Linked DNA regions of Anolis sagrei. The protein of the gene in region 3 binds, or shares a complex with, the protein of the main gene of each other region. Links are inferred from orthologs where the notes say so. Each region holds a gene or a part of one and is shown on either strand. Other genes may lie near its edges. The genes, in order: SEMA4D, ARHGEF12 and PLXNB1.

What was found.
Region 1: the proteins of PLXNB1 (region 3) and SEMA4D are in contact, whole or in part, in a crystal structure (PDB 3OL2), measured with the Homo sapiens proteins. The link is inferred for Anolis sagrei from reciprocal best matches to the Homo sapiens genes PLXNB1 and SEMA4D. Residues at the interface, in NP_001123554.1 of Homo sapiens: Leu80, Pro81, Pro82, Glu87, Arg136, Pro137, Gly138, Asp139, Thr140, Tyr142, Gly178, Glu202, Lys205, Ala207, Gly209, Arg210, Ser212, Glu213, Arg235, Arg242, Asp359, Val360, Asn361, Ser362, Leu367, Pro368, Thr371, Tyr375, Ser379, Asp380; in NP_001358123.1 of Homo sapiens: Glu99, Lys100, Gly101, Phe158, Tyr179, Phe181, Leu182, Gly183, Ser184, Arg198, Tyr201, Ile203, Glu208, Val240, Leu264, Arg265, Thr266, Leu267, Gln268, Lys270, Thr347, Gln350, Ser351, His352, Thr353, Asp388, Gln392, Lys395.
Region 2: the proteins of PLXNB1 (region 3) and ARHGEF12 are in contact, whole or in part, in an NMR structure (PDB 2OS6), measured with the Homo sapiens proteins. The link is inferred for Anolis sagrei from reciprocal best matches to the Homo sapiens genes PLXNB1 and ARHGEF12. Residues at the interface, in NP_001123554.1 of Homo sapiens: Glu2129, Lys2131, Val2132, Thr2133, Asp2134, Leu2135; in NP_056128.1 of Homo sapiens: Phe82, Gly83, Leu84, Thr85, Val86, Ser87, Gly88, Asp89, His127, Val131, Lys135.

What each region holds. Positions count from the first base shown.
Region 1 is NC_090022.1:234,407,923-234,415,988, forward strand, and holds the start of SEMA4D (semaphorin-4D), read right to left. Parts: upstream 3,047-8,066; 5' UTR 2,614-3,046; intron 2,602-2,613; exon of another isoform or gene 2,481-2,601; intron 1-2,480. UniProt on the Homo sapiens protein: Cell surface receptor for PLXNB1 and PLXNB2 that plays an important role in cell-cell signaling. Regulates GABAergic synapse development. Promotes the development of inhibitory synapses in a PLXNB1-dependent manner.
Region 2 is NC_090027.1:37,523,942-37,531,380, forward strand, and holds the start of ARHGEF12 (rho guanine nucleotide exchange factor 12), read right to left. Parts: upstream 3,076-7,439; 5' UTR 2,405-3,075; intron 710-2,404; 5' UTR 1-709. UniProt on the Homo sapiens protein: May play a role in the regulation of RhoA GTPase by guanine nucleotide-binding alpha-12 (GNA12) and alpha-13 (GNA13). Acts as guanine nucleotide exchange factor (GEF) for RhoA GTPase and may act as GTPase-activating protein (GAP) for GNA12 and GNA13.
Region 3 is NC_090022.1:26,207,919-26,215,099, reverse strand, and holds the start of PLXNB1 (plexin-B1), read right to left. Parts: upstream 3,012-7,181; 5' UTR 2,974-3,011; intron 1-2,973. UniProt on the Homo sapiens protein: Receptor for SEMA4D. Plays a role in GABAergic synapse development. Mediates SEMA4A- and SEMA4D-dependent inhibitory synapse development. Plays a role in RHOA activation and subsequent changes of the actin cytoskeleton.

The DNA.
Region 1 (8,066 bases), about 210 Mb from region 3:
CATCCAAGTATTAACCAAGGCTGACCCTGCTTAGGTTCCAAGATCACATTGGATCTGGTGCCTTTAGGGTATTTATCATGTCCCATGGACCGATATTAATATAAATATTGGCACTAAAGGCAAAGGAGTGTCTCCCCTCAATCTGGATTAAATTTTAATTTTTTGCTCCCAACTTGGATTAAATTTTAATTCGATTGCATCCCTTTCAAGTTCAAAAACATTCCTTTTGACAGGTTGTCCCTCCCACACCTTCCTTCATCATTTTTCCTCTTCCCACAGGAGACTCCCCACAATAATTAAAGGCGACCCCTCTGGCCCTTTCCTCCCTATGTCAAGTTTCCTTTGAAAACATCCAAGAAATGGGTTACAAAGGGTGCATCTACATTGTAGAATGAATGCAGTGTGGCACTACTTTCACTGCCATCGCTCATTGCTATGGAATCCTGGGAGTTGTATTCTGGATCTACTTCACTGTAAAATCAGTGCAGTTTGACAGCATTTTAAATGCCATGGCTAATTGCCAAAGACTCAGAGGTGTTGCAGTTTCACAGAGTCCTCAGCCTTCCCTGCCAAACAGTGCCTCATCAAACTACATCTCCCATGTATAGTTGAAAGCTTTCATGGCCGGAATTGCTACGTTTCTGTGAGTTTTCCAGGCTGCATGGCCATGTTCCAGAAGCATTCTCTCCCAACGTTTCACCCACATCTATGGCAGGCATCCTCAAAGGTTGTGAGTTCTGTTGGAAACTACGCAAGTGAGGTTTATATATCTGTGGAAAGAACTGCAATGCAAGTGCGAATTGGCCACCTTGATTAGCACTGAATAGCCTTGCAGCTTCAAAGCCAGGCTGCTTACTGCCTGGGTGGGGATCCTTTGTTGGAAGGTGTTAGCTGGCCTTGATCATTTTCTGCCTGGAATTCCACAGCAGTTCAAATTGTGTCAGAACTGCAGTGTAGGCCCCTTCCACACACCAAAATGAAATCCCACATTATCTGCTTTGCAGTGGGATATATGGCAGTGTGGGCTCAAATTACCCAGTTCAAAGCAGATATTGTGGGATTTCCTCCCTTGGTATTCTGAGTTATATGGCTGTGTGGAAGGAGCCCATGTGTTTTTGAACTGCGTTTCCCAGAATTCATCGCCACTGGCTCTGACAACTAAGGCTGAATCTATACTGCCATATAATGCTGTTTGAATTATATGGGTTATTACAGGATGGATCTGAACCCTCTTCTACACTGCCATATAATCTTGGTTATATGGCTGTGTGGAAGGGCCCGTAGACACACCTGTACTTTTGCAAGGTCTTTAGCCTTTTGCGGGGAGGGGAGAAATAGTGCTGTTGCCTCACCAAACTACAAATGGAGCCATGGCAGTGAAAGAGGTGCAGAACTGCATAGATTCCACCATGCAGACGCACCCAAAGCTAGACTTGATTCCTTCTGAAATCATGGCAGTGCAACAGTGGAAGCTCACAAGACTTCAACACTGCAATATTGAAGTCTTGTACACAAAGGGGCAGTGGGTGCCAGAAAAATTGTATATGTGGGATGAACATAATTCAAAAACCACTGGATGATTTGACACCAAATTTGGACACAATATATGTAGCAGCCAACAAGTGACCATCACTCATAAAAACACTGAAAAACACAGCAGAAGAGACTTAGAAAGCAAAAAAAAAACCAAAAAAAAAACAACCCCAAAATACATTACAACGCATGCGCAAAATCACATATAAACACAAAACACACACACACACCTATTACACACACATACACATACACATACTGGACCACAGCAACGTGTGGCAGGGGAAGGCTAGTACATATATACATATTGGGGAGGGTCGAAAAGGAAGGAGGGAGAAAGGGGCAGCCAAGGCCATTCTTCTAGCCAAAGCAGGGGAGGGGGGAAAGTAAGGCAGAGAAATAAAGGCAAGGCAGACTCCATCCACAGCAGTCCAGCCACACACAACAAGCACACACAATGCGCCTGCTTCTTTCCCACCAACACAACCATTGGTGCCCCCCTTATTGACAAGGCTAAAGGAGTCCAAAGAGAGGAGGAAGACCCTCGATTTAAGGGGAGGGGGAGCACCCCATTTCAAGGGGAGATCCTCATATCGAGTGGAAAGACCCCCTCTCCTTTGAAGGGAAGAGACAAACCTTTGAAGGGGAGGGAGTGGGAGCCCCATTTGAAGGATCCAAAGGAGAGACCCCCCATTTCAAGGAGAGGAAAAGGAGACCCCCCCCCCATTTAACCCTCCCCACTTGCATCTCTTTCCCTGCCTGCAGATCAGAAATCTGTCTTGAAAACACCCCTCCATCTCCTCCCCCCTTTACCCAAATCCGAGTCCCTGCAGCAAGCCCCGCGCCCAGTGTATTGCATTTGATATTGCAACCTCTCCCGGTTCCCACGATCCGAAGAGGAGGGGATGGGACCCCCAACCCGATGACCCACCCCCCAAACCCCTCACCTTTCTCTCAATGCCGAACCAAAACCCGGGAGAAGCAAATATAGGGGGAAGAAGGCCACCTTGTTGCCTCTTCTTTCCTCCCGAGTCAATCCTCTGCCGCAAAGTGGAGCCACTGCCTGCAAAGGCTTCCTACCTGCTGCTGCTGCTGCGATTGCTGCTCGACAACTTCTTTATTTTCCCTTTCCTTTTTCTCTCGCTGCCACGAGCCCGCGTGGAAAGGGAAAGAGGCGATCGGTGGGAGGAGGAGTTGGCGGTGCCAGGCTGGAGCAAGTTTGGGTTGCCCCCGCAGTTATGGCGGCTGCCAGAAAAAGAGAGAGAGAGAGAGACCAGGAGAAAGAGGAGGAGGCAAAGCGATCCGCGTTCACACAAACACACACACACCACGCCAATCCACCAGCTCCAGCTAAAGGGAGGGGAGCCCCAGGCGGGCGCTTTCCAAAGGGGAAGGCTTTAGGAAAGCGAGAGTTCAGTCAAAGGGAGAGGGAGGAGGAGGGAGGTGGGCTGCTGGTGGGATTAGCAGCAGCAGCAAAGGCTGGTTGGTGGGGTCTCGTGGTTTCTCTCCAGCGGGAAGGCGCCCCCTCCCCATCTATACCCACCCTCCTCCCACCCTCGAGGAATATTTTACTAAAAGGCTCCCGGTTGGTGGAGGAAATATCCCACGAAACCGAAACACGGCCCCTGCAGGTTGCGAAGCCTCTGCACCACGTGGAGGGAGGCTGGGGTGGCTGCTCTCGCCTATCTTCCAGGAGGCATTGGGGGCATTTACGCACTGGAGTTTCACACCACTTTAGCTGCCCTGGGATTTTGGCACCAGCACTCATTGGCACAGAAGAAGGCGAAAGGCCTTGCCAAATTACAATCCCCATGATCCTACAGCATGGCAGTTAAAGCGATGTCCAACTGCATGACTTCAGCACCATAGCTGCACTCTTTCTCTGCCTCTTAGCAATTGTTTTCTTCTTGAAGGCCATCTACACTAGTGGTTCCCAACCTTTTTTTGACCAGAGACCACCTTGACTAGGGGCCACTTTAAACAGTAATCACTTGTTCAGGGACTACTTGACCAGGGACCACTTTGACTAGGGACCACTTGACCAGGGACTACCTCGATCAGGGACTACTTGAACAGGGACCATTTTGACTAGGGACCACTTTGAACAGGTACCCCTTTAACTAGGTACCACTGTGACCAGAGACCACTTGACCAGGGACCACTTTGACTAGGGACTACTTGAACAGGAACTAGTCTGGTGATAGAAACCACAGAGCACTAAATGACTCACTTTTACACACTTTTGTGGGAGTTTGTGTTGGAATTCAACCCCACACTGCCCAAGTCTGAAGTTTTCAATGAGGAGCAGTTAGTTTAGTATGGACTAAGGATGTCCCTTCCCCCATGTCTCCTGTATGACAGTTGGGAATTATTATTATTATTATTATTAAACTTTATTTGTACCCCGCTAGCATCTCCCAAAGGATTCGATGCGGCTTACACAGGCCGAGGCCTCAACGCACAACATAATAATACAATCTAAGCAAATCAAACAATTAAAAACAAAGTAAAGCAAAGTAAACAACAGGCACAATACACTAAAAAACAATAAAACTGGGCTGGGCCAGAGGGTGGGTACAAAGATTAAAAGTGCTGATGTGACAGGAGGTGTATAAAGGGCTTCTAGGGCAAGTGCGATGTGCAGCAATCCTTGGTTCTGATAAAGTGCTTATGGGACTTGGTAGTGGGGATTTCCTAATCTGGGAAGGCGCATCAGAAAAGCCAGGTCTTCAGGTTCTTTCTGAAGACAGCCAATGTAGGAATGTAACTATTTCTTCTGTCCTCTGTTTCTGTTCCCATTCTGATTGGGTGTGTGAAATTGATACTTTTCTATTGCAAGTCTTTTAAAATCTGACTTCTGTTTCTTACATCTTTGAATGTGCTGTGTGCTGTGTGCTTTGAGATCTCTCTCTGTGTTTTTCCCACTCTTTGAATCCTTAGAAGAGATGGGTGTTAGAGTAGCTCAGACCCAGTTCTTTACCATGAAGATATGTAGTTAGTTCCTTATTATTGTAGAGAAGCCTTTTGTGATTTTTAAGATTGGACTCTGTATCTTTGCCTGCCTAAGCTCTAAATTCTTTATAGCCACATCACACTTTGCTCAGTAATGAGCTGAAGCTCAACTTTTGTGCCCTGTTTGCTTTTGGATGCTCTGCTATATTTTAGGTTAGTTTTCCCTAACCGTTTGCTGTCTCGTTGCTGCAGGTTGAAGCTCATTCGAACTGCATTAAATGGTCAATGTAGATGGAATCTAGGTTTTTCAGTTCCTACCTCTTGGGGATGTTATTCATTGGTATTAAATTACAAACAGGAAAAAAATCATAGCATGAACATATAAAGCTACTGAGATTTACCTATTGTCAACTCACCAGTCAAACATTAAGGGTGCATCCATACTGTACAATTAATGCAGCTTGACACTACTTTAACTGCCATGGCTCAATTCTATGGTGTCCTGGGAATTGTAGTTTAACAAAGACTTTAGCCTTCCCTGGCCAAGAGTGCTTCTGCCTCACCAAATTACAAATCCCAGGATTCCATAGCATTGAGCTATCACAGTTAAAGAAGTGTTAAGCTGCACTGGTTTTGCAGTGTAGATACACCCTATGTCAATGGGACTATTCTATTTGAGACTAACAACTAGAACTCTGTGTCTATAAAACACTCTTAAAGACATTGGTTCTCTTTTTTAAATAATATTACGACACTATAGTAGGCCTTGGGATCTGCTGGAATTTAGCTCCAGGACCCCTAGTGGATACCAAACTCAGTGAATACTCTAGTCCCTTGATAAAGAATACTATAGTAAAACAGTGTTTTTGTGTTGTTGTTTTTTAAAGTCAAGCAAGGAATGGTGAAATTAATGACTGCACAATCTGTGGATATCGAGGACCGGGTTGCTGTGAGTTTTCCAGGCTGTATGGCCATGTTCTGGAAGCATTCTCTCCTGATGTTTTGCCCACATCTATGGCAGGCATCCTCAGAGGATGAGAGGTCTGTTGGAAACTAGGCAAGTGGGGTTTATACGTATATCTGTGGAATGTCCAAGGTGGGAGAAAAAACTCTTGTCTGCTTGAGGCAAGTGTGAATGTTACAATTGGCCACCTTGATTAGCATTTAATGACCTTGCAGCTTCAAAGCTTGGCTGGTTGCTGCCTGGAGGATCCTTTGTTGGGAGGTGTTAGCTGGCCTTGATAGTTTCCTGTCTGGAGTTCCCCTGTTTTTGAATGTTGTTATTTATTTAGAGTGTTTTAATACTGGTAGCCAGATTTTGTTCATTTTCCGGTTTCCTCCTTTCTGTTGAAATTATCCACATGCTTGTGGATTTCTATGGCTTCTCTGTGTAGTCTGACATGGTAGCTGTTTGAGTGGTCCAGCATTTCTGTGTTCTCACATAATATGCTGTGTCTAGCTCGGTTCATTGTTTGAAACATGCTCCTTTTCAGCAGGGAAATAGTGGAACAAGTCTGAGGCCTGGATAGTGATGATACAAGCCAGAGCACTGATGCACATTAGGGAGTTCTTTTACACACTTCTGTGGGAATTTGTTGTCTGGCCACCACAGTTTGACACTAACTTTGAATGAACAGTATTAGATGGGGTTGTAGTGTGAGATCAGGTAGCATAGTGTGGACCCACCATATCTCTGAGCTCAGGATCTGCAGTTTCAGACAAGTTTGGATTCAAAGCAAAGGTGGTGTCAACCTTTGGCTACAAGTCACTTGCTAGTCAGTCACTTGATTCTGCCTTGTGAACAAATAAGCTGAAGCCCCATAACCATCACCTCAAATACTTGCTGCCACCTCCACTGGTGCCCTACACCGTTTTATTAATAGGGACTCCAGCATCCGATGATTATGGTGATGATCTGTGCAAAATTTTGGATCTTCACAACAAATGGCAAGACACGTGCTAAACCAAAATTCATCTAAAAGAGACTGCCTCCCCATGGACCCCACAAGGGAAGGACAAAGGGAACTCACAACTTTTCCAAGACTAAGAGGATTCACACCCTTGCCATGAGTTGACAAAATTTTATCACCAAAACATCTCTGTAACTTCAACTGGAATGATCAGTCAGAAGTAGAGTGGAATCGTAGTATCCACAGGTATTTGCTCCACATCCTCATCTTCCTGGTCTCTATGCCTTTAGTTTGTACAGTGGACAGAAAATGCAATTGTTAGAAGATGCTGGAAATCGTAATACTATAATAAGAATAAGAATAATAAGAATAACAACAACAACAACAACAACAACAATGCAACAACAACAATAATAGGAATCTGAGGGCCTGATTCTTGCAGCCCAAGAACAAGCAATTAGAACAAATACCATCAAAGCCAGAACTGAAAAGTTGACTCCAGAATCCAAGTGTAGAATCTAAAAGGAAGCAGACAAAATGATGGATCACATCATCAGCTGCTGCAAGAAGATTGTGCAGATGAACTACAAGCAGAGGCATAATACCGTTACTCAGATGATCCATTGGAACTTATGTCAAAAATACCATCTACCAGTAACAAAGAACTGGTGGGATCACAAACCTTAAAAAGTTACAGAAAATGAACATGCCAAACTACTCTGGGACTTCCGAATATAGACTGACAGAGTTTTGGAGCACAATATTCCTGACCTCATGTTTGTGGGGGAAAAAACAAAGTATGAATCATCGATGTTGCAATCCCAGGTGAGAGCAGAATTGACAAGAAGCAACTAGAAAAGCTTACATGATATGAGGATTTAAAGACCGAACTGCAAAAACTCTGGCACAAGCCAGGAAAGGTGGTCCCAGTGGTGACTGACACACTGAGTGCAGTGCCTAAAGACCTTGGCCAGCACTTAAAAACAATCAGCGCTGACAAAATTGCCATCTATCAGCTGCAAAAGGTCACCCTACTTGGGTCTCCACATATTATTTGCCGATACATTATACAGTCCTAGGCACTTGAGAAATATCCGACATGTGATCAAATACAAAAGCCAGTATAGTGATCTTGTTTGCTGTGTACTAATCTTGTTATGTATCAAATAATAATAATCTTTATTTTAATGTTATTTTTAATAATAATCTTTATTTGGAAGACTCAGGGCGGAGTCCAAAGGCGAAAAATGGCAAACATTCAATGCCATGTGCAATAACATAATAAAACATTAAAACAAACAGTTATGGTCAAAATAAACAAATTAAACACTTTGGCTAAAACATATAAATCAGTCAAACATCATAAATATCACATTGAACAGTTAAAATATGTATAAAAATATAGCTCTTCAATAAGTTATGGTAATTGTCAACATTGTCAGATGAGGTGGGATCGATGGTAAACTAGTCTTCCTCTCCATAGGCTAACGTACAAAAGTAGGTTTCTAGTTGTTTCTTGAAGGGGCTGTTGTAATTTCTTTAGGGAGGGAGTTCCAGAGGGAAGGAGCGACCACAGAGAAGTCTCCCTGTCTTGTTCCCACCAGCCGCACTTAGGATAAGGTGGGACCGAGGGGAGGGTCCCCTCCACTGATCCCAGTGCCTGAGCAGGTT
Region 2 (7,439 bases), on a different chromosome or scaffold from region 3:
CAGGGAAAGCTACTCAGCAGAGCGGTTTCTAATGCTTTGCTCACCAAAGATTGATTTGCCCTCCCTTTTAAGGATTTATATTACTATCTACCCTTAACAGGCTAGAGGGAAATAGATACTACTGTTTCTATATGGGATTGTCAAGAAAAGATGCTGAGGGTGGGGTTGTCAACAGGAAAACAGCCCCTTCCTATAGAGAATCAAGTATCTATCTAGAAAAAACATACAAAAATAGCAGCCCCCCCCCCCTTCTTTTGTCCCCACCGAGAAAAGGGAAAGTAGTGGAAATATCTAAGCGAAATCTCTGAGTTAGACTGAATTCTCTCCTCTTGTCCTGGATGAAAATTGGGGCAAAGAAAAGGGGAAAAAATAGGGCTGTGGCCTTCTCAAGCCTCCACCTGCCTTGATATCCCGTCTCTCTCTTTCATCTCCAGGCCGAGTCGTAGAAGCAAAGGCAACAAAATAAAGGCCCAGAATTGGATTCCAAGGTGGACTGCGATGGCACAGCCTCCTTCCTCTGGTCCTGTTTTTGGGGTGCGTAAAGAAATCACAGCCACGCTTTCTATGGAGTGTGTGTGTGTCTTCCTCTACATCCCGTCTTTCTTTCTTTCTTCTCTAAGCCCGGAGTTGACACACAAGAATGTGGAATCTGTTGGCCTGCCTCCGGCCTTCTTTAGATCTCCCCTCCTTCCTTCCTTCCTCTCTTGTCCTGGAGAAAAGGCAAAAAGAAAAACGAAGTCACAGCCGTGTTGGGCCCTGTGTGTATATATGTATATGTTTGAGTGTGTATGCTTATGCTTGTATCAGTATGTACATATATGTACCTGGATGTATGTCTTTGTGTCAATGTTTGCACCTGGCTGTGTTTATGTATTTTTTTAATATTTATGTCTATATGTGTGTATGTGAAGGTATGTATTTATGTATCTGCTTTATGTTTGTATCTGTATGTGTCTGTGTTTAAGAAAGTGTTTTATGTTTGCATCTGTATGTGTGTGTCTCTGCATGTAGGTATGTGTTTATGTATGTGTTTTATGTTTGTTATCTGTATGTATGGGTCTGCATGTAGGTATGTGTTTATGTGTGTGTTTTATGTCTGTATCTGTATGTGTGTGTATCTGCGTGAAGGTATGTGTTTGAGTATGTTTAATGCTTGTAGCTGTATGTATGTGTATCTGCGTGAAGATATGTGTTTATGTATGTGTTTAATGTTTGTATCTGTATGTGCGTGTACCTGAGTGTAGGTATGTGTTTATGTATTTATGTTTGTATCTGTATGTAAGTATGTGTTTGTGGGGTGGTATGTGTTTATGTTTATATATGTGTTTTATGTTTGTATTTGTGTCTGTGTATAGGTTTATGTTTATGTATGTGTTTTATATTTGTATCTGCACGTGTGTGTATCTGTGTGAAGGTATATGTTTATGTATTTAATGTTTGTATCTGTTTGTATTTTTGTCTGTGTGCAGGTATGTGCTTTATGTTTGCATCTGTATGTGTGTGTATCTGCGTGAAAGTATGTGTTTATGTATGTGAAGGTATGTGCTTGAGTATGTTTAATGTTTGTAGCTGTATGTATGTGTATCTGCGTGAAGATATGTGTTTATGTATGTGTTTAATGTTTGTATCTGTATGTGCGTGTACCTGAGTGAAGGTGTGTGTTTATGATTGTATCTGTATGCGTGTGTAACTGCATGTAGGTATGTGTTTATGTATTTAGGTTTGTATTTGTATGTATGTGTTTGCGGGGTGGTATGTGTTTATGTTTATATATGTGTTTTATGTTTGTATTTGTGTCTGTGTATAGGTTTATGTTTATATGTTTAACGTTTGTATCTGTTTGTATTTTTGTCTGTGTGTAGGTATGTGCTTTATGTTTGCATCTGTATGTGTGTGTATCTGTGTGAAGGTATGTGTTTATGTACGTGAAGGTATGTGCTTGAGTATGTTTAATGTTTGTAGCTGTATGTATGTGTATCTGTGTGTGTTCATGTATGTGTTTAATGTTTGTATCGGTTTGTATTTTGTCTGTGTGTAGGTATGTGCTTTATGTTTGTATCTGTATGTGTGTGTATCTGCGTGTAGGTATGTGTTTGTGTATTTATGTTTGTATCTGTATGTATGTGTGGGGTGGTATGTGTTTATGTTTATGTATGTGTTTTATGTTTGTATTTGTGTGTGTGAATAGGTTTATGTATGTGTTTCACGTGTGTCTAGGTTTGTGTATGTGTTTTGTGTTTGTATCTGTGTGTGTGTCTTTTCCAGCCTTCTTGATCCCTCTCCTTCTTCTTCCTCCTTCTCCTCTGGCCCTGAGGGAAAAAGGGCTGCAAAGAAGAGTCAAAGCAGCACTTGATGGATGGATGGATGTGTTTGCATCTGCAGGTATGTTTCTGTGTGTGTATACCTGTCTGCGGGTCTGTGCCTCTCTCCTCGAGCCTTCCTTGTGCTTCCTTTCCTTCTCCTCTGCTCCTGACGAAAAAGGGGTGCAGAAAGGAGCCACCCTCGAGGGCAGTGTGGATGGGTAGTTGTGTGGCTCCCCTTTGAGGTCGGGTTCCTCCTTTTTTTCCCCCTTGGAGTCTCTCTTCCAGGCCTCCAAGTGCCTCCTGAGGGGGGTCCCGAGCCTGGGGGTGGCTGTCCTCCTCCTGCTTCTCGGCCGAAGTCCCCTCAGGCCCGTCGGCCCTTCTCCCTCGACGTCGGGCCTGAGGAGGAGACTTAGTTTCGCCCCCTCCTCCTCCTCCTCCTCCTCCTTCTCCTTCCCGCCGGAGGAATGTGGCGAGGCCTGGCCTGGCCTTCCTCCTCCTTCTCTTCCTCGGCCTGGTCTCCTCCGCAGGCCCCGCTCCGGCCTCCTCTCCGGATCCTGAAGAGCTTCTCCTCAGGCCAGCGCTGCTCCCCCCTCCGCCCCGCCGGCTTCCCTCAGGCAGGCCCCGGCTCGGCTCCGCTCGGCTACTTTCGGGTGTTTCCGGACGTTCCCTCCCCTTTCCCAGCCTCTTCTTCACTTCAGGGATTCGCCCCACTCGCTTTCGGCTCCTGTCGGGTATCTTCGGGACTTTCCGGCCATTCCCGAGTCAATTTGTGTCCCCCCCCCTTTATTTCAGTCATTATCTCCACTCGGCTATTTTCGGTCTTTTCCGGCCATTCCCGAGTCAATTAGTTTTTTTCTCCCCTTTATTTCAGTCATTATCTCCACTCGGCTATTTTCGGGCTTTTCCGGCCATTCCCGGATTTCTTCATCTCCCGCTCTTCCCCTTTTTTCCTCCACTCGTTCTCGGCTACCTTCGGGCTTTTCCGAAGATTCCCGAACTCATTTCCTCCTTTCGACTCTTCCCTCAGTTTCTATTCCTTCTGGAATTGCTTCGACTCTATTCGGCAACTTTCGGGGATTTCCGACTATTCCCGAACGTCCCCCCTGCCTTTACTCTGCAACTTTCGGGTATTTCCGAACATTCCCGAGTCAATTAGTATTTTTTTCCCCTTTATTTCAGTCATTATCTGCACTCGGCTATTTTCGGGCTTTTCCGGCCATTCCCGGATTTCTTCAGCTCCCGCTCTTCCCCTTTCTTCCTCCACTTCTTAGCTTCACTCGTTTCGGTTTTTTCCGGCAATTCCCGAACTCATTTCCCTCTTTCGACTCTTCCCTCAGTTTCTATTCCTTCTGGAATTGCTTCGACTCTGTTCGGCTACTTTCGGCGGTTTCCGACTATTCCCGAACGTACCCCCCTTTCTTTTATTCCTCTTCGCTCGATTCAGTATTCGGCAACCTTCGGGTATTTCCGGAAATTCCCGAACGTAACCCCTCCTCCTCCTCCCATCCCGATCCTTTATGCCTCTCCGCTCAACTCAGTTTTCGGCTGCTTTCGGGCTTTTCCGGTAATTCCCGGACTTCATTCCTTCTCCCCCTTCGGCTTCTTTACACAGCGGTTCGTTCTCACTCGTTCTCGGCTACCTTCGGACTTTTCCGGAGATTCCCGGACTTATTTCCCACTTTCCTCCGTTTCTAATCCTTCAGGAATTCCCTCGACTCTGTTCGGCTACTTTCGTACTTTTCCGAATATTCCCGAACCCCCCCACTTTCCCTTTATGCCTCTTCGCTCGACTCAATACTCGGCAACCTTCGGGATTTTCCGGCAATTCCCGAACTCATTTCTCCCTTTCGCCTCTTTCCTCCGCTTCCATTCCTTCAAGAATTTGCTCGACTCACTTCGGCTACTTTCGGATTTTTCCGACTTTTCCCGAACGTTACCCCCCCCCACACACACACATTTCTTTCCCCTTCTACTTTATGCCTCTTAGTTCGGCCACACTCGGCTATCTCCGGCTTTTTCCGGATTCATTTTTCGCTCCCTCATGTTCCCCTTCTACTTCTGTAAGTCGGAGTTCTCTCGACTCAGCTCGGCTATCTTCGGAGTTTTCCGGTAATTCCGACTCTTAATCGCCCCGCCTCGTTCCTTTCCGCCTGCTTCCTCTGCTCCCTTACTTCAGGCTTTCACTCGGAAGGCTTCGGGCTTTTCCGGAGATGCCGGGACTCGTTTTTCTCCTCTCCCCCTCCCTTTTTTCCCCTTCGGGAGGATCCCTCCGCGTCGGCACGCGTCACGCCCTTCCCTTGCTCCGCCTCGACTCTTCCTGTCACAGCACATGCGTTGCCGCTTCCGCCATAGGCCGATAAAGGAGGGCGGGGGGGGGGGAAAGTTCCTTTAAGGAGCAATATGAAATGGGAAATCGAATTGCATTGTGTTTTTGGAGAAGAGTTAGGGAGATGCCACACATAGTCTGAAATAGAGGCCTCTCCAAGGTGCTGGACTTATTTTGGAGGCTGAATCCTTGTCTACATTGGAGTAAGTCCCACTTAGGAGAGAATTGCAACCCAAGCGCCATATGCAAAGTGCTGCCACCTTCAGGAAGCTCCTGGTATTGCAATATTTGGTGCCAAAGAAAGACATTGGAGACAGTATGTTCCAACAGGCAAGAGTTCTTTCTCCCACCTTGGACATTGTTCCACAGATACATAAAGTCAATTTTCCTATTTTCCAACAGACCTCACAACCTCGGAGGATGCCTGCCATAGATGTGGGTGAAACGTCAGGAGAGAATGCTTCCGGAACATGGACATACAGCCCAGAAAACACACAGCAACCCAATCTGTGCCCTGCCATTGTTTTTCCTATTTCTGTCTGTGGTTGCGAAATCAACTCATTTGAAATGTCGCAGGACAAATATAGTTAACCCTCCTTGTTTTTTACTTTAGGAGATTTGACTATTCACAGATGTTATGACATGTTTGAATAGTGTGCGTATTCTGTTTATTTTCCCCCTTAAGATCAATAGAAGAATTGGAAAACTTTTAAAATATGTATGCCAAGATGTTAAAGTGGCAACGATTTTAAACCCAGAGACGTATTATTATTATTATTATTATTATTATTATTATTATTATTTGAAACACAACAGGATGAGTCCACAGCAAACAAGATTACTATACTGGCTGTTGTATTGGATCACACATCCAACATGTCCCAAGTGTCTAGGACTATGTGATGTATCAGTGAACAATGCATGCAGATCCCAGTAGCTGGCAGATGGTAATCGTGTCAGCACCGATTGTGCTTAAGTGCAGGCCAAGGTCTTTAGGCACTGCACCCAGTGTGCCGATCACCACTGGAACCACCTTTACTGGCTTGTGCCAGAGTCTTTGCAGTTTGATCTTTAAATCCTCATATCGTGTCAACATTATTATTATTATCATCATCATTATTATTTTGCAAAATTTGTTCTCTTGGAAATCACTTCCAGACATTTTGCAAAACAGGACAAAAGTCAATCTATCGACTTCAGGGAGAAGAACGAGCATAAAGTGCAACATCCCAGACTAAACACCCCATAAATTGATCGGCAGCCACTTAAGATGAACGGACTGCAAACATTGTATTGAGTTTCACTTCCCCTCTCTGAGGGAAAAACACCTGAATAAACTAAAGCAACAACAGTTTGGAAGCTCATTTATTTCATCTTGCCAGAAAATCTATGGTCAGAGCTCAGCTCTAATGCAATAATCTATCATTGTTAAGGCACAGTTGCCATGAAGGGGTTTCTCCTTGTTTCGCAGCAGTGAGCAGAATGGCAGAAATTCTGCATAACAGACATAAATGTGTGCCTAGTTTCTAATACAAAGAACACCCAGTGACACTCAGGAGGCTTATGGTTGATGAATGGGAGAATAACTTCTTTGCGCTGCATGTAAACCTGTGGAACTCATTGCTACAAGTCTTTGTTACAAAATATAGACAAATTTGTAAAGGGTATCAGCCAGAGCTTGGAAAACTAGGTCTTTGGATGATCATTCAGCAATGTTCCCTGGAAAATTCTGAAAGTTATAATCCAAATGAGAGCCCCCAGTGACATAGCAGGTTAAACCGCTGAGCTGCTGAACTTGCTGACCAAAAGGTCATCAATTCAAATCCAGGGAGCAGGGTGAGTTCCCACTGTTAGCCCCAGCTTCTGCCAACTTAGCAGTTCAAAAACATGCAAATGTGAATAGATCAATAGGTACCGCTTCAGCAGGAAGGTAACAACACTCCATGCAGTCATGCTGGCCACATGACCTAGGTGGTGACTACGGACAATGCCAGCTCTTTGGCTAAGAAATAGAGATGAGCACCAACCCCAGGCTTGGACTCGACTAGACTTAATGTCACGAGGAAACCTTTACCTTTTCTATAATTCAAATAAGTAATTACTCCTTGAGTGCATCTACATTGGGAAATGAATGTAACGATGCTCCATGCAGTCATGCTGGCCGCATGACCCAGGAGGCGTCTATGGACAACGCTGGCTCTTCGGCTTAGAAGTGAAGAAGAGCACCAGCCCCTAGAGTCGGACATGACTAGACTTAATGTCAGGGGAAAACCTTTACCTTTACTTTAATTCAAATAAGTAATTACTCTTAGAGTGCATCTACATTGGGAAATGAATGCATTTTGATCCCAGTTTAACTGCCCTGGCTCAATGCTATGGCATCCTGGGAGTTGTCATTGGATGAAGTACCATCACTCTGGGAGAGAAGGCTAAAAGCCCTGGAATACTCCAGCTCCTGGGATTCCATAGCACTGAGCAATGGCAGTTAAACTGTGGTCAAACTATAATAATTCTGCAGAGAAGAAAACTATTAGAGGTTCAGGAATGTGTTTATTTACATTATGACCATAGACCATTCATAAATAATTGTGCTGTCACGCACTGGGCCTGTGAAAGAGTCTGTAGACAGGACGTATTCTGTATGCCCAACGGGACGCCGGGGGTGCCTCAGATTAGAGGCCTTTTGGATTTCCCTAAACAAAGTCTTGGAAACTTAGAAACTTGGAAAGTTTAACAAAGTTCTTTATTAGTGCTTAGGTCTTCAATAAGTCAAACAAATACTTCAAGGCTTTGAATCAACTGGTGACTTT
Region 3 (7,181 bases):
CTGCAGGCGCTATAAGCTTGAACTGTTGTTTTTGTTGCTGATTGTTTTTAGAGAAGCTAATTTTCTCCATTTTTCTGGTATTTCATCTGTAGTATTGTGATGTGGTCTGCTGTGGGAGGAAGTCCATGGATATGACAAAGTGTGTTCCCACACTGGTTGAGACCAACCCTGGTGACACCATTGTGCATCCTTTTGAACATTTCACACAAGACGTCAGGACATGTGTAGCCAACAATTTTATTTATTTATTTATTTATTTATTTATTTCATTTACTTATACCCCGCCCTTCTCACCCCGAGGGGGACTCAGGGCGGCTTACAATGGGGGCACAATTAGATGCCCAAGGCAATTCACAAACAATACAAATACAAACAATTCAACAATTAATTAAAAACATCAGTACATAATAAAAACAATAAAACAGTCTCATGCTCAGGGTTCAGAGTCCATATATCCATTCCATTCCATTTGTCCTTGTCTAACATCAGATCCTTCAGTTAGCTGTCAGAATGACCAAAGGCTTGATCCCAGATCCAGGTCTTCAGTTTTTTCCTAAACGCCAAAAGGGAAGATGACGATCTAATCTCCCCGGGGAGTGAGTTCCACAGGTGGGGGGCCACCACTGAGAAGGCCCTACTCCTCGTCCCCGCCAGCCTCACTTGTGACAGTGGCGGGGTCGAGAGCAGGGCCTCCCCAGAAGATCTTAAGCTTCGAGGTGGGACGTAGAGGGAGATCCGTTCGGACAAATACACTGGGCCGGAACCGTATAGGGTTTTGTAGGTCAAAACCAGCACTTTGAATTGTACTTGGAATTGGATCGGCAGCCAGTGGAGCTGACGCAACAGGGGGTTGTATGCTCCCTGTACGCCGCTCCAGTGAGCAATCTGGCTGCTTCTCGCTGGACTAATTGTAGTTTCCGAGCAGTCTTCAAAGGCAACCCCACGTAGAGTGCGTTGCAGTAATCCAGCCGGGATGTGACAAGAGCGTGGACCACCGTGGCCAGATCTGGCTTCTCAAGGTACGGGCGCAGCTGGCGCACAAGTTTTAATTGTGCGAAAGCTCTCCCGGCCACCGCTGAGACCTGGGGTTCCAGGCTCAGCGATGAGTCCAGGATCACTCCCAAGCTGCGAACCTGCGTCTTCAGGGGGAGTGTAACCCCATCTAACACAGGCTGTAACCCTATACCCTGTTCGGCCTTACGACTGACCAGTAGGACCTCTGTCTTGTCTGGATTCAATTTCAATTTGTTAGCTCTCAGTCCGATACAGCGGCTAAACACCGGTTCAAGGTCTGGACAGCCTCCTTGGTGACAGGTGGGAAGGAGTGACAGATTTGGACATCATCTGCGTAGAGATAACATCTCATTCCGAAACTCCGAATGATCTCTCCCAACGGCTTCATATAGATGTTAAATAACATCGGGGACAAAATTGAACCCTGTGGGACTCCACACAACAACGGTTGTGGGGCCGAACAGGTGTCACCCAATAACACCTTCTGGGTCCGTCCCTCAAGGAAGGATCGGAGCCACTGTAAAGCGGTGCCCCCGAGCCCCATATCCATGAGGCGACCCAGAAGGATACCGTGATCGACGGTATCGAAAGCCGCTGAGAGGTCCAGCAGAACTAACAGGGACACACTCCCCCTGTCCAGTTCCCTGCGAAGATCATCTACCAAGGCGACCAACATCACAGTGTGATCAAGATGGCAAACTTATTTAATGAGGAAGAACACTTGACGATTGGAGAGTACAGCAATTTGCTTTGGAATAAATAGGTAAAGGTTCCCCCTTGCTTTGGAATAAATAGATAAAGGTTTCCCCTTGACAGAGTAAGTCGTGTCCTACTCTGAGGGGTGGTGCTGGGTTTTGCGGGAAATTGGCCTGGATATTTTGGAGTTGTAGGTACTGGGATTTATAGTTAACCTACAATCAATTAGCATTCTGCACTCCACCAAAGATGGAATTGGACCACACTTGGCACACAGAACCCCCATGGCTAGCAAAAAAACCAAAACAAAAAAAAAACCCACTGGAGGTCTTTGGGAAAAATACAACTTCATTTAGGGGACTTGTAGTTCACCTACATCCAGAGAGCATTGTGAACCCAAACATCAATGGATCTGAACCAAACACTGAGGGATCTGGACCAAACTTGGCACACATACCTGATATGCTGAAACTTGATTACTGCAGGGGTTTAGGGGGAACTGACCTTCCTTTCTGGGATTTGTAGTTCACCCACAACCAGAGAAACTGTGACCTCCACCGATGATAGACCTGTTCCAAACTTGGCACACAGATCCCCTATGATTAACTCAACCTACTGGAGGGGTTTAAGGGGGCTGACTCACGATAGTAGGAGTTGTAGTAGCCAGAGAGCACACCAAACCCCACTGATGATATATCTAGAGCAAACTTGACCAACATAACAAACTTTAAGTACTGATGGAGTTTCTTGGGGTTAACCTGGCATGACTTTATGCATTTTGTAGAATTTAAAAAATGACTTTTTCCAATAACCTGGGCAACGCTGGGTATCCAAGCTAGCAAAAAATAACAAAAGGCTAGCTGGAAAAGCCTTTTGTACAGAAGCACCCCAGTCAAATATGTTGAGTGGGTAAAACTAGGTCACAAAGGATTGCACTATAAACGCAAAGGTGTCCCATCTCCGTTTAGAACACCACACATGCAAGCGAAATAGCAAAGGCACTCACTCAAGCCCTTTTTTCCGGCTTTCCATTCCCTCACAAGGGAAAGAAAAGAGAGATCCAAATTACACAAACTGATCTCACAGCAGAGGACTTTCTTTGGCCTGCCACGGTCACACAAACATTTTCTCTGCTCCCAGACTTGGGCAGAGTTTTTTCTCCCACCCAAATCCCAAACTGGTAACTAGGAGACGGAGCCAAAAACACACTTCTTGCCTTGCTCTGATCCATTCATGACTTTTAAACACTAATCCCCTTTGTACCTCTCCTCCGGAGCCAATCCTTGCCTGCAGCCCATTCAGCCTGGTACAGAGTCCCCTTGCAAGCTTCATTTAAAGGACAGGGAGGGGAGGGGCGGAGGGGAGAGGAGAGGAGAGTGGGGGCCACATTAAAAAGAAAGGTTGGGAAAAAAGTAGCCTTTTCTTCCTGTCCCAATCTTGGTCTGGAGTGGAGAACTGTGTTTGTATGTTCCATGTCTTTGGAGCAGCGTAAAGACAGGGCTTTCACTGAGAGCAAGTGCCTGTCTGTCACAGCTCAGAGCATTCATTCCCAAACAGTGTGGTCCATTCATTGGCTGCCAGGCCTGGGCCCAGAATGCAGCTTCACCCCAGAGAAAACTGGGAGAGGCTGAGAAAAGGAGCAGAGGTGGGAAAGGAGAGCGGGCTCAGTGGCTAAGGGGATGGGTTCTCAATTCCTTATTTATGAGGATTTTCAAAATACAGTTTAAACCTGGCACGGGCAAACTTGGCCCCTCTAAATGTTTTGGACTTGGTCCCTCCAGATTTTTTGGACTCCAACTCCCACAATTCCTAACAGCCTCAGGCCCCTTCCTTTTCCCCCCTCAGCCACTTAAGCTTAAGGAAGGGGAGAAGTTTTTAAGTCTCCTGGAGCATCCCAGAGGTGAGCAAAAGTAAACATATGAAGTGACATCATCACCAAGCTGGTTGCCCATTTGGGTTGAAAATCAGAATAGTTTTTACAGCATGAACAGGAGAACAGCAACATGCAAATAACTCCAGATGAAACTGCGGACAAAGGTAAAGAATCATGGTTCTGTAAAAAGGTTAGCTTTTTTAGTCTGGATGAGGGCGAAGAAATTGAAATTGACATAGACACTTCTGGTCAGTCGCAAGGATGAACTGGGTATAGGGTTACAGTCTGTGCTGGTTGGGGTTACAGGTTCCCAGGTTTCAATGGTGACCAGGGGAGCTTTTGCACAATTAAAACTTGTGCGCCAGCCAGTTACGCCTGTAGCTTGTGAAGTCAGACTTGGACATGGTGGTCCATGCTCTTGTTACATGGAGAATAGACTACTGCAATGCGCTCTACATGGGGTTGCCTTTGAAGACTGTTTGGAAGCTTCAAGTGTCCCTGAGCGGCAGCCAGATTTCTCACCGGAGCGGTGTACAGGGAACATACAATTCCCCCTGTTGCGTCAGCTCAACTGGCTGTCAGTTTGCTACTGAGCACAAGTCAAAGTGCTGGCTTTAGCCTATAAAGCCCTAAACTGTTCCGGCTCTGCTTGTCTGAATCTATCTCCCTCTATGAACCATCATGGAGGTTAAGATCTTCTGTGGAGAGGCTCTGCTCTTGGTCCCACCTCCTTTGCAAGTGTGGTGGGGAGAGACAGGGTCTTCTCAGTGGTGGTTCCTCAGCTGTGAAACTCTCTCCCCACTGAGATAAGATCAGTGCGCTCCATCTTGGTTTTCAGAAAGACATGGTTGTGGGACCAAGCCTTTGGCCAGTAAAATAATGCAGTTTAAGACTAATTGGGGAACATGTGCAATTGACAACTTGGAATGGCTACGGTTTATGATTTTGATCATGTGATTTTAAAGTTTATACTAGGATGTTTTAATGCTATATCTAAATGTTGTGTATGTGTTATGTTTAATGGTCTTAATTTATTTTAACACATAGTTATATGTTATTCTGGGAATATGTTATTGTTGTCGCTTCTGGTGTGAGAGAATAGGCCATCTGCAAGGACATTGCCCAGGGGACGCCCAGATGTTTTTGATGTTTTACCATCCTTCCTATAAAGGGAACTGGAGCTGACAGAGGTAGCTCAAGCTGCTCTTCCCGGATTCGAATGGCTGATCTGTCGGTCAGCAGTCCTGCCGGCACAAGAGTATAACCCATGGGGGGCTGACATGAAAAAAAATTATTGTTGAGATATTTTTAATTTTTACATGTATGTCTGGCTTTGAATTTTGCCACTAGTATGTTGTAGTCCTCCCAGGGTTGAGAAGAGTGGTAAATAAATACATTAAACAAACAAACAAATAAATAAATAAATGAAGTGGGACACCCCCCCCCCCCCCCCCCCCGGTGGGTTAAACTTGTTGACCGAAGCAGTTTTTAATCCAGGGAGCGGCGTGAGTTTCCAGCTTCTTCCAACCTAGCAGTTTGAAAACATGCAGATGTGAGTAGATCAATAGGTAATGCACGAGCAGGAAGGTAACAGCACTCAATGCAGTCATGACCTTGGAGGAGTCTATGGACAATGCTGGCTCGTCGACTTCGAAATGGAAATGAGCACCAACTCCCAGAGTCAGACACGGCTGGACTTAATGTCAGGGGAAAACCTTTACCTTTTTAAAAATAAATAAATACATAAATTTATATTTATGGATTATGCATCTATGGATTCAACCACAAATGACTTGAAAATATCATAAGGGGAGGATTTGAAAAGGCCGAGCACTGAGCATTATGGGGATGCATGGGCATACCCTGCTGTAGCTGCCTGTCATTTCACAGATCCCCAGACTGTCTTCATCACTTTTTTGAAAAGGCAGCTAGAAAATACTACTCATTACGCCCAAACACTATGTTGTTGTGGTACTTTATAAATGTCCTTTTCTTACATATTCATTCACCTCTTTCTCTTCCAATCACAGTGGCCATGTTACTTATAACTGTATCGCCAACAAGCTCTGTGAAAACTGCAGACACATTGCAGGGCTGTGGGTGTCGGAGTGAGCTCTAATTTGAGAAATGTCCTGCCGCTGGTTTGGTGCCAGTGATTCCCCCTGCTGGTTCACAAGATGAATGTAAGCTGGCATCGGGGCTCTCTTGGCTAGCAGCGAAAGAGTGGTTTCTATCCGAAAAGGCAAGGAGGAGGTGGCTGAAAACTTTCCAGAGGTCAGGCAGCTTTCCAGCAACTACAAAAAGTCCCCCGTCCAGCTTGCTCTCCCAAATTGAACATGGAAATTAGTTTCCTCATTACGGGTACCTGGGAACCAGAGAGCGCTTGAATTGGTTCAATAGTCCTTTTTTTTTGTGCAAAGCTGCTGAGAAAAACAACAAGAGGCAAGACTATAGCTGTATTCCAAGAATCTCTAGGGATTCCTTTTTCATGCCCCAAGTTTTGCTGGAAGACCAGAAAGAGGGTTTCTATCCACAAAGTTGGCTTTTGGGGAGTGAAATGCAAAAGAAGGACATTCTTTGACCTTGGCTAATAGTGGCCTCAGTCACAAGGCCGTAATGACCTTACTAGCCCAAAGAAACAGCTCAGTAAAACCCCGCTTCCTCCAGCCCCAATTTGCAAAAGGAGCTTCTAAAGAAACCACAATTCCGGGATAAGTTTTTACAGGCAATTGTTTCCAGTTTCCTCAAAGCCCAAAGTGTTGCTAAGTTTGAAAGAAAACCACTGTTCAATTAATATTCAGAGCCCATGAGCGGATGTCAAATTTATTTCTAGGAAGCATTCGGAAACTGGCGTATGCCATGCTAATAAAGCCAAGCCTCAACAACACTTGTGGGCTCCTCTACTTTGTAGCAGTGGCCTTGGATTGCTAAATAGAGCTCTTTGTAGTGCGAGTTCCTTCATGGTTATGACCAAGGGGTTTCCTGAAACTGGCCACCCTTTGCTTCACTGTGGGAGAGATGTTTCAAAGGTTGAGGATGAAAGGGTATGGCTGAAGGTTTTTGTTGTTTTCCCATTTCAAAGGAAAGGGATGGCTGAAGTTTTTTTTGTTGTTTTCCCATTTCCAGTTAAATGATGAAAGTGGGTAAGTCAGGGGTGTTGAACTCATTTTCATCGAGGAGCACATCAGCCTTAGGGTTGCCTTCAAAGGGGCATTGAATCCATGGACAGAGAATCTTTGGACCCAGAGGGCCTATATATATTATGTGTGTGTGTGTGTGTGTATACACACACACACACACACACACACACATATGTAAAAGTTTCCCCCTGACATGAAGTCCAGTCATGTCCGACTCTGGGTGTGATGCTCATCTCCATTTCTAAGCTGAACAGCCGGCGTGGTCTGTAGACACCTCCAAGGTCATATGGCTGGCATGACTGCATGGAGCGCCGTTACCGTCCCACCGGAGCGGTACCTATTGATCTACTCACATTTGCATGTTTTCGAACTGCTAAGTTGGCAGAAGCTGGGGCTGACAGCAGAAGCTCACACCGCTCCCCGGATTCGAACCTGTGACCTTTCGGTCAACAAGCTCA